Linked DNA regions of Caenorhabditis elegans. The protein of the gene in region 1 purifies or fractionates together with the protein of each later gene. This does not show direct contact. Each region holds a gene or a part of one and is shown in the gene's direction. Other genes may lie near its edges.

What was found. The genes of interacting proteins can lie anywhere in the genome.
Region 2: the proteins of asp-4 (region 1) and mppb-1 fractionate together in Caenorhabditis elegans (co-fractionation; one large-scale study listed by BioGRID). This does not show direct contact.

Annotation. Positions count from the first base shown.
Region 1 is NC_003284.9:13,218,081-13,223,461, reverse strand, and holds asp-4 (Aspartic protease 4), read left to right. Parts: upstream 1-1,999; 5' UTR 2,000-2,034; coding exon 2,035-2,120; intron 2,121-2,701; coding exon 2,702-2,888; intron 2,889-2,934; coding exon 2,935-3,058; intron 3,059-3,185; coding exon 3,186-3,428; intron 3,429-3,639; coding exon 3,640-4,183; intron 4,184-4,236; coding exon 4,237-4,387; 3' UTR 4,388-4,477; downstream 4,478-5,381. Other genes in the region: skr-20 (Skp1-related protein), read left to right, coding at 1-446; R12H7.4 (G_PROTEIN_RECEP_F2_4 domain-containing protein), read right to left, coding at 4,531-4,635, 4,685-4,936, 4,983-5,069, 5,299-5,381. UniProt on the Caenorhabditis elegans protein: Aspartic protease, which is part of the necrosis cell death pathway. Involved in neuronal cell degeneration. Involved in heat stress response.
Region 2 is NC_003282.8:9,072,535-9,077,480, forward strand, and holds mppb-1 (Mitochondrial-processing peptidase subunit beta), read left to right. Parts: upstream 1-2,138; 5' UTR 2,139-2,142; coding exon 2,143-2,175; intron 2,176-2,221; coding exon 2,222-2,344; intron 2,345-2,393; coding exon 2,394-2,480; intron 2,481-2,540; coding exon 2,541-2,670; intron 2,671-2,723; coding exon 2,724-3,109; intron 3,110-3,192; coding exon 3,193-3,297; intron 3,298-3,352; coding exon 3,353-3,472; intron 3,473-3,523; coding exon 3,524-3,620; intron 3,621-3,668; coding exon 3,669-3,964; 3' UTR 3,965-4,037; downstream 4,038-4,946. Other genes in the region: Nuclear hormone receptor family member nhr-11, read left to right, coding at 1-24, 72-203, 250-365, 686-834, 885-986; mans-4 (alpha-1,2-Mannosidase), read right to left, coding at 4,060-4,198, 4,241-4,841, 4,889-4,946. UniProt on the Caenorhabditis elegans protein: Catalytic subunit of the essential mitochondrial processing protease (MPP), which cleaves the mitochondrial sequence off newly imported precursors proteins. Preferentially, cleaves after an arginine at position P2.

The DNA of each region.
Region 1 (5,381 bases):
CAATGAAATTTTGTGCATTTATCAATCAGAAGTTTATTGACCATGGAGTGAACGACAGAAATTGTGAACGAGCAGATCCAATTCTCGTTCCATTCCACTCATCGATTGTTCAAGCTGTAATAGAGTGGCTTTACCATTATCAGGACAACCCGCTCGCCCGACGAGACTCCAAAATTCGTTACCACGATTTTTCCGAATGGGACAAGCAGTTTTTCAACGTGGAATCGGGAGTTCTTTTTGCACTACTCAATGCTTCTCATGCGCTTGGAGTCGAAGATTTGATGAATATGGGGTGTGCAGCCGCAGCAGAATTGATTCGAGGAAAAAGCACGGAAGAAATTCGCAAGATCTATGGAATCAGGTCAGATGAAGAACAAATGGAGGAAGCGTTGGCAAATGGTGGAGAGGGAACATCTGCAATGACATTCACAACGGATTCTGATTGATGTTTAATTTCACATATTGTGAAGAAGATGTTTGAAAGAATATATTTATACACTTTGATTCAAGTTTATTTGTGAATAAATTATTTTACAAACCTCATAAATGAAAAATTGAAGTTATAAGAATGTAAAAGAATAGTTGGAAAACAAAACAAACAACTAAAGTGTCACTACTAATTAAAAAATTGCTTAAAATTAAATATCAAAGAACCATATGTAAATCAAGTTCTCGTTGTTTCAGAATATGAGGTGAGCCCCCAAATTACCGGATTTTTATTTCCGATTTTTTCTGATTTTGCATCCAATTTGGCCGAACTTGTACATTTCTGGTGTTTATTGCAAAATACTAGGTTTTAAAAGAACTAAACGTTTATAAACTTCATGACGGAATTGAATGCAGCGTTCTGATTACTAAATCTGGAAAATTTAATAGTGTGCTTTTTTTTAAAGTTTTTTTTTTCATCTGCCTTAATTTGCCCTTTTTTGTGGAATATTATTTTTCAATTTTGTTAGTTAAGTAAAGTTTCACTATGCTCAATTCTTCAGACTTTGGGGGGATAACTTTTTCGAGAGTTGTGATTAAAAGATACATAATATTCATATATCCAGTGCCGGTTGTTTCCAATAATAGTTTTTATTGTATAGCTTTTTTCATGCTAATCCATTTCATCTAAAATTTTTTATGTATGCATTAGGACATTGCATTAGGACATGATAATTTCATCAACAATTTTAATGAAAACTGAAAATTGAACATTGAACAAAAATGTCAACAATGTTATACGAAAATTGTATATAGTTTTTCAAAAACAATTTTTAAATCTCCTGTAAGTTTTCCACGCAACTTGTATATTTTATAGGCTTAATTTAAGCAACTACTTGATATAGGAGCCCTTGAACAATTGTAGAATCTGTTTTGTAAAGCTATAACCCAATCATAGTTGTTTTAAGATGAATGAACCTAAATCAATATTATCCTTAGCATTCAAACACTGTTGTTCACAAATCAGACGGAAAAAACGGGCAGCATCCACGCTATTTTCCATCCACAAAAAAACCTCAATTTACAGAGCTTTTGTGTCTTCTATGTTTAACAGTTTAACATTAAAATTGCTTGGTCTTCCAAACGTTTTGGTTTTATTTCAAAAGTGGCCATGCAATTTTTTTCATAGTCCATTGCGTGATTGACTAACTGTCTTTCAAACTCCGTCAAAAGTCCCAATTACTGTCTACAACAACCTTGAAGACAAAATTAGATAGGATCTTGATTTGGCCGAGTTTTGAAATTATCCCATTTTCTCTCCCCTAAATCGAAACAGAACAAAGTTTCACAATTCCCTTATCATTCAAACTTGTCATCTCACCGGTACAGACGGACACGTTGACAACGGTCAGGCCATTTTTTGAATGTTTAGAATTTACTTTCCGATAATTATGCATGACAGCTGGAGGAATAACAACGAGACAGTTGACCTTGCAGCTGCTGTTGTGCCGGCAAAGAAACAAGGCGGAGTCATCATGAAGAGAAAGGGGAGATAAGAAAAGGCACAATTGAGATCGGAAGAGGCATTCAGTTAGTTTCATCGTCAGGATGAACCGCTGTATTCTTTTGCTCCTCGGAGCACTTCTTCTCGTTCAAGGTCTTCATGTTCACAAGAGGCAACAGAAATTGAGAACGTAAGTAGAGGTCGTTGGAGGTTTGTTGACACCTCATTTTGATCATCGATATAGTGAAAATGTTGGTCATGTTTCTTAATATTAGGTGCCACGCAAACACCTACTTATGACATAACTGAATAGGTGTGATAATGTGCAAGATTGATTGATACTTGAATCCTCGGTAATGAGTAACCTTGTTATCTGTTTCAATATTATATAATCCCGTCAGAATCTCATTTAGACAGGATACTATAAAGAACTGAAAGTTGTCCATTGTTTTTTATTGTAGTTTCAAATCTGATTTTGACATTAAAAAAAAAACCTAATAAAATTTTTCTAACTGTGAAAGGATTATTTAAATTCATTGGGTTTTGTTGGGAACACTTCTTTCTACTTTGATCATAACACTTTTTCTTTCTATTTTGTCTCACAAATCTAAGATTTCGAGAAGGCACATCATGCCACTTTTTCTCTCGATGGGTCACAAGACCCTCCTGCTTATCCCATTCGAGTTGATCAACACTGCTCAAAAATCCGAACAACAAGAACAAAAACAAGTGACCCACTCAGCAGTTGCTCAGTTCTTATTCTGCTTGCAGCGTTTCCCTGAAGAAGCAGCCGACTCTTCGCGAGACTCTTCTTCAAGCCGGTTCATTCGAAACCTTTGCCAAGCATCGTCATGGATATAAGAAGTACTTGAAAACCAATGGAAATCATCATTTCGACAAGTACCAAGCTTTGAATGTTGAAGGAGAGATTGATGAGCTTCTCAGAAACTATATGGATGTGAGAATTGAAACAACAAAAAACATATAACTAATCAAAGTTTTAGGCTCAATACTTTGGAACCATCTCAATCGGAACTCCAGCTCAAAACTTCACAGTCATCTTTGATACTGGGTCTTCCAATTTGTGGATTCCATCGAAAAAGTGTCCATTCTACGACATTGCATGCAGTAAGTATTTCATCACCAAATCAAACTGATATCATGCTTTTTCTTGTGAACTGATGCTGACCGAAACGTGTTTGTTTTTGACAGTTTTATGGTTTGGACAAACAAATAAAACACTTTTTCATTTCAGTGCTTCATCACCGTTACGACTCAAAGAGCTCGTCAACATACAAGGAGGATGGTAGAAAGATGGCAATTCAATATGGAACTGGATCCATGAAGGGATTCATTTCAAAGGATAGCGTTTGCGTCGCAGGAGTGTGCGCTGAGGATCAGCCATTTGCTGAAGCAACCAGTGAACCAGGAATCACCTTTGTCGCTGCCAAATTCGACGGAATCCTCGGAATGGCTTACCCTGAAATTGCGGTTCTCGGTAAGAGTTTGAAGTAGACTGGGATACACCCGGATAATCGGAAGGGTTCAGCATTTTGTTTTAGTTATAAAAGCTGTGCATTGAACATTTTGGTGTGAAGTAATAATAAGTTGCATCCTGTATGCCATCAAAGGTACAATAATTACAGAAAATGACTTTTATTTTCTGAGCACTTACTAGGTTTTCTCACTTCTGTAATACTCTATTGCAGGAGTTCAACCAGTGTTCAACACTCTTTTCGAACAGAAGAAGGTCCCATCGAATCTTTTCTCATTTTGGCTCAACCGTAACCCAGACTCTGAAATTGGAGGAGAAATCACTTTTGGAGGAATTGACTCAAGAAGATATGTTGAGCCAATCACCTATGTTCCAGTCACCAGAAAGGGATACTGGCAATTCAAGATGGACAAGGTTGTTGGATCTGGAGTTCTTGGATGCTCCAATGGATGCCAAGCAATTGCTGATACCGGTACTTCTCTCATAGCCGGACCAAAGGCTCAAATCGAAGCCATCCAAAATTTCATTGGAGCTGAGCCTCTCATCAAGGGAGAGTACATGATCAGCTGCGACAAGGTTCCAACACTTCCACCAGTCTCTTTTGTGATCGGAGGACAAGAGTTCAGTCTTAAGGGAGAAGACTATGTCCTTAAGGTTTCACAGGGTGGAAAGACTATTTGCTTGTCTGGATTTATGGGAATCGATCTCCCAGAACGCGTTGGAGAGCTCTGGATTCTTGGAGATGTCTTCATTGGAAGGTGAGCCATATCTTTTCTCAAATTAAACATTGACGAACCCAATGAAAAATCAGGTACTATTCCGTCTTCGATTTTGATCAGAACCGTGTCGGATTTGCTCAAGCTAAGACCGCCGATGGCCGTCCAGTTGATCCAGCTCCACGACCATTCCGTTCTGTCTTCGACAACGAAAGTGAGGAATCCATGGAACAAGACGACGAATAATCAACACGTTATTTTTCTCACAAATCCAGGTTTTTAAAATATTTTTAATTCATTGGCTTTATAAAACACTTTATGTTTAATAAATATTTTTCTATCAACACAATTGAAGGCACATAATCGAAAAATGCGATCATTTAGCGCCACTAAGCAACAGATGGACGAAACAAAATGTCTCCACTGTTTCCGCTATTGCTCGAATCGGTGAGCCATGAGTAGAATTTTTGAGACTCTGTGTGCTTTGTGGGGTCCTAGAAAAATAAATATAGTAGACACATCAAAATTGATAGCAACACTCACCAGTCCTTTTCCTCTTTGTGTTGATTTTTTCGGACTACTATTTCCTGATGTCTCATCTGGCTCTTTCGAGTCGCCAGCTCCAGGTTGCTTTTCTGGATTTTCATCTTCATTTTCTAGAGGTGTTTTTTCCTGAGGATTTTCAATCTTCTCATCTTCTTCATCATCTTTATCTTTTTCATATGTTGAAGGTTTCGGTGGACACATAGCGTATAAACTAGCAAAACACCCCGAACCAGCCCACTTCTGACAGGTCTGAAAAGCAAAAAAACAGACTGTGCATGAAAAATCAGTTGCTTACATTCAAATGTCCATATGTGTGGCAAACAAAAAGAGCTGGTCCAAATAGGAGTGTCATGAAGGTGACCAGAATAAACAAGTAGAGTTTCTGAATTGAATTTTATTAAAGCCATAGTTTCATGCATATCTGGCTCAAAAACAATTAGCGGTTTGATAATTGCAATAAATTAAAATGACGTTTTGCATAATAGTAACAGTTTGTTCATACGTATGATCTAAAAATTCACGAATGGTTTTTATAGTTTACTTCGAAAGTGTAACTTTTTTAAAAATTTCTTTCTATTCAAAACTATAGAAGAACACAAATGTATCCGAACCTGGTGTTCTGCAGCAAATAATATCATAAGCCAAATGCTGAATATATACTGCGAAATCAAAACCAATGATTTTACTGATCTTC
Region 2 (4,946 bases), on another chromosome or scaffold:
GTCTTCCGCATATTACACGGCAAAGTAAGTTTTTTTTAGAAATGACTAAAATGAAAATAAAATGATTTCAGACTCGGTCAAGCACATCGTCAAATGGTATTGACAAATGGTGAATATCTGAATATGGATCCTTTACCAATGTCCGGAAATGAAATTGATGCCAGACGATATTTTGATTGCGATGAGGACTTTTCAAAGTATAGGTAACTGTTCTGCTACAACAATTACAATAATTGCATATAATTTCAGAGCTCTAATGCCAATGCACATCGCCATTTGGGAAGAAAGCATCGTCCCATTTTCCAAACTGAATGTCACTTTTGAAGAATTTTGTTTGTTGAAGGCACTTACAGTATGGCAAGCTAGTGAGTTATTTTTTCACGTTTCAGAGATAGCTTAACTTGTGTTTGAAACTCTTACCACTTTTTTTCCAGGCGGGTGTTTATTTAGTGTTAATTTTTAAATTCATCATTTTCTCGTAAAATAAACTCATATTTTGGCAGTAGGCAGGTGAAGGTGGCATATCAGACAGATATTTTTGTGTCTACACGGAGGAGTGACTCTGCCAAAGTGATTAACACATTTAGATTTGTTTTAAATAAAAATTCAAATACGATATACATAAGTTCATAATCTTTTTAAAAAAATGTATTCAACTTTCAAATTAATCCTTCAATAATTTCAGCATACTTCAAGCTAACTGAAAATGGCCGTGAAAAATGTCGTAGACAAAGGAATATCATAATTGGCTTTCTATCAAAAATGTGTCATTCACCAGGTGGAGGCGGAGAGCATCGTGTTGGAGAACTTCTGATGAGTATGAATTATCTCAGGGTTTGTTTATTTTTGTATAACAGCTATCCAGCAAACAAAGGATATTACAGGAATCTGCTCAAAAACTCACAACTTCTTACGTGATGCTCACAGTTTTCAATGTTCTCAACTGTGATTCAATGCTTCATGAAATGCTTAATTTTCAATACTAGCTAAATATTTGTGTGAAAGTGTTTTATTATGTTCAAATTTTATTGTTTTATCATGATCGTCAATAAAACAAGGGCAAATACTGTTTTACTACTTGATCTCTTACTACGTGATCTCTTTTACTATGATTTGCATACATAGATCTTTTACGACGTTTTACTCTTTTGCTACAACCGTATTTTTTACTCCGTTATCCCATTTCGATCTTTTGCTACAGTTTGTATCTTTTGTTACGGTGGACATTTTTACTACAATGACAAGGATTGTATCCTTTACTAATGATTTTTTACTACATACGAATTAAAAATTAATTTTCATAGTACATATATTCTAGATATGAACAAATGTATGAATATTTTTTAAAAATGCATAGGTCACAGTTTTAGTTTGTTCTCAAGTAGTTCTAGTAAATTTCAGTTGTTTTCTTTTGATGGGATACTGAGTTGGAGTTCATGGAGAGATACTGTTGGGTTACTGTAGTTGTACTGTGGTAGTAAGAGTTTTCAGATTATATCGTTTTTTTTTTTAATTTCTAGAAATTGATTCATTATGAAATGATCAGAACTTATTATGAACATTTGGCTCTAGATATTAAAAAAACACGATATGCTCTTTTGTTCTCTTGTAATCATGAATAAGGATCGCTAGATACCCACTCCTGTTTGTGCGCGATTATAAATAATCCCCGAAAGGACATTTCCAAAATTACCGTTTCCCTGGACATCGTTTTCCAAAAATACAAGCTCTAAACGAGAGCCCCTTGATGTTTTTTATTTGGTTCGAAATTTTATATGTCTGCATAATCTGAAAAATTAATTGGAAATTCCGAAGTTATGAAATACCGCGTGCAATTGTTCAAAATCTTTTATTCAAACTTCCGCCTTTTTGCCCGCGGCGGCCGCGTTTGTGAAAGTTCTTCCATTCGCTACGTACACCTCGTGGACAAAGTTAATTTCACTTTTTTAGAAGCATTTTCTGCAATTCTGTTCAATTTTTGTTTAATTCGTTACTCTAATCGTTTTGTTGTATCAATGTCAGCAAAAAGATTTTTATTCCAGTATTACGTAGATTTGTTTGTGTTTAGCCGACAAATTGAGCTTCACTATTGCGTAACCATTGTTTCCTTGAAAATAGAGCATATAAATTTTTTTCAGATAAATGTACAGAAGACTAGCCTCCGGCTTATATCAGGTAATTTAAACAATTTTGTTTACAGTGAAAGTAATTTATTTTTCAGACTTCCCAAAGAAGAATCGCACAAGTTCAGCCGAAATCAGTATTTGTCCCAGAAACAATTGTAACGACACTTCCGAATGGGTTCAGAGTTGCAACAGAAAACACAGGTGGATCTACTGCTACTGTAATTATTTTTCCTAAATTATTTGTTTGTTCAAAGCTATTTTTATTAGATCGGAGTATTTATTGATGCCGGCAGTCGCTACGAGAATGAGAAAAACAATGGAACAGCTCATTTTCTAGAGCATATGGCGTTCAAAGTTAGTTTAATTTAATTTTTAGAAAATTTTGAATTTCATATAAAAATCCGAATTTTTCAGGGAACGCCTCGCCGGACTCGAATGGGATTGGAGCTTGAAGTTGAAAATATTGGAGCTCATCTAAATGCGTACACTTCTAGAGAAAGCACGACGTATTATGCTAAATGTTTTACAGAAAAGCTTGACCAATGTAAGAAATAAAATTATTAATGCAATTTTTAAAATATCTATTCCGAATTGCAGCCGTCGATATTCTTTCGGATATTCTTCTGAACAGCAGTCTTGCCACTAAAGATATCGAAGCAGAACGTGGTGTAATTATTCGAGAAATGGAAGAAGTTGCACAAAACTTTCAAGAAGTTGTATTTGATATTCTTCATGCTGATGTTTTCAAAGGAAATCCTCTTTCCTATACAATTCTTGGTCCAATTGAATTAATTCAAACAATCAATAAGAATGATCTTCAAGGATATATTAATACACATTATCGAAGTGGCAGAATGGTATTAGCAGCAGCCGGAGGTGTCAATCATGATGCGATTGTTAAAATGGCAGAAAAATATTTCGGAGAGCTCAAGCATGGAGATTCTTCAACTGAATTCGTCCCAGCCACTTACAGTCCCTGTGAAGTCAGTTTTTGTTTGAATAAATTCGCTATCAGCAAATATTAAATAGAATTAACAAAATATATTTTTAAATGTTTACATTTCAGGTTCGAGGTGACATTCCAGATCTTCCAATGTTGTACGGAGCGATGGTTGTCGAAGGAGTATCTTGGACCCATGAAGATAATCTTGCCCTTATGGTGGCTAATACGGTACTTTTTTAAAAAATATTTTTATAACTTAGAAGTTGATAGTTCATCATTCCAGCTAATGGGTGAATACGATCGTATGCGTGGATTCGGCGTGAATGCTCCAACTCGCTTGGCTGAAAAATTGTCACAAGACGCAGGAATTGAGGTTTTCCAATCATTTAACACGTGCTATAAAGTAATGAATTCCTGGGAAAAAAAACTCTTTTTACATATTTCTGTAATTCAGGAGACAGGATTAGTTGGAACTTATTTCGTAGCTGCTCCGGAATCCATCGACAATCTTATTGATTCAGTTCTTCAACAATGGGTTTGGCTTGCGAACAGTGAGTTTTTATTTAACATAGTCCTGAGTCAACATCTTTCATTTCCAGACATTGATGAAGCAGCGGTTGATCGTGCCAAGCGCTCCCTGCATACGAATCTACTCCTAATGCTCGATGGCTCAACTCCAGTCTGTGAAGATATTGGTCGACAACTCCTTTGCTACGGTCGTCGGATACCAACTCCAGAATTACATGCCCGAATCGAATCAATCACAGTCCAGCAGCTCCGAGATGTTTGCCGACGTGTATTCCTTGAAGGACAGGTCTCTGCAGCAGTTGTTGGAAAGACGCAGTATTGGCCAGTTAATGAAGAAATTCATGGAAGATTGATCAGAATGCAATAGATACATGTGTTATAGTTTATTTGTTAGACAAACGTTTTGTTTTTGGTAAAAATAAATTCTAAAAACCCGTCAAAAAGTGAAAAATACAGCATCAGTCAATTGTAAATTGGAAGTGGGTGGGCTTCAGTGTTGAGAACCCATCGATCGAGTGGAAGGATTTCTTGATCATCAGCCATTAGAAGGTAAAGGTATTTGAGGGTCTCAGCAAGGAAGAATGATTCCATTTTGTCACGTCTGAATTTGAATGATTAAAAATTAAACAAAATGCTGACAAACCTTTTGATCTTCTTTCTGAGCACATTGTCAATTGAGCTGTATCCACCAGTTTCCACTTTTGCATACTTTTCAATCGACTCAAAAGCTTTCCATCCCCACTCTTGATATTTCTTATCTTTAGTAACACGATACAAATAGAACCACGCTTCAATTGCTTCTGGACGGAGAAGTGAATGAGCATCAAGATTCTTCACATAAGTATCCGCTTGTGTCATATCAGAACTATCCTCCATATTGAAATGTATTATTTCTGGTCCAAGTCCTGTTGGATTTTCATACATTTTATGACAAACATTTCCAATATTTTTAGCCATTTCCAAATGTTCATTGTCATGATCAAGACCATTTAAATGGGAAAGTACAAGAGATCCGGAAAGGAAACAGACAAGGTGATCCATTTTTGGATAGAACTGTGCCAATTCGGTTATTTCACCGAGAAACCAGATGCTATTCGGCTGAGATTGTCTATAGAGATGCTTTTTCATGGCGGCAATGGATTGAATGAAGTCGTCACGCAGCCAATCAATTGATTTTTTGGTTTGAAGCCATTGCTTGATAAGATATTCGTAGTAGCTGTCAGCACGAGCTCCAAGAGTAATACCTAAAAAGAAGAAGAATTTTGTTAAATTAGTTGATATTCAAACAAACTTGATTTTTTGAATTCTCCTTTTCCGTCAATGTAAAATGGGCACAGTCCATCCATCTT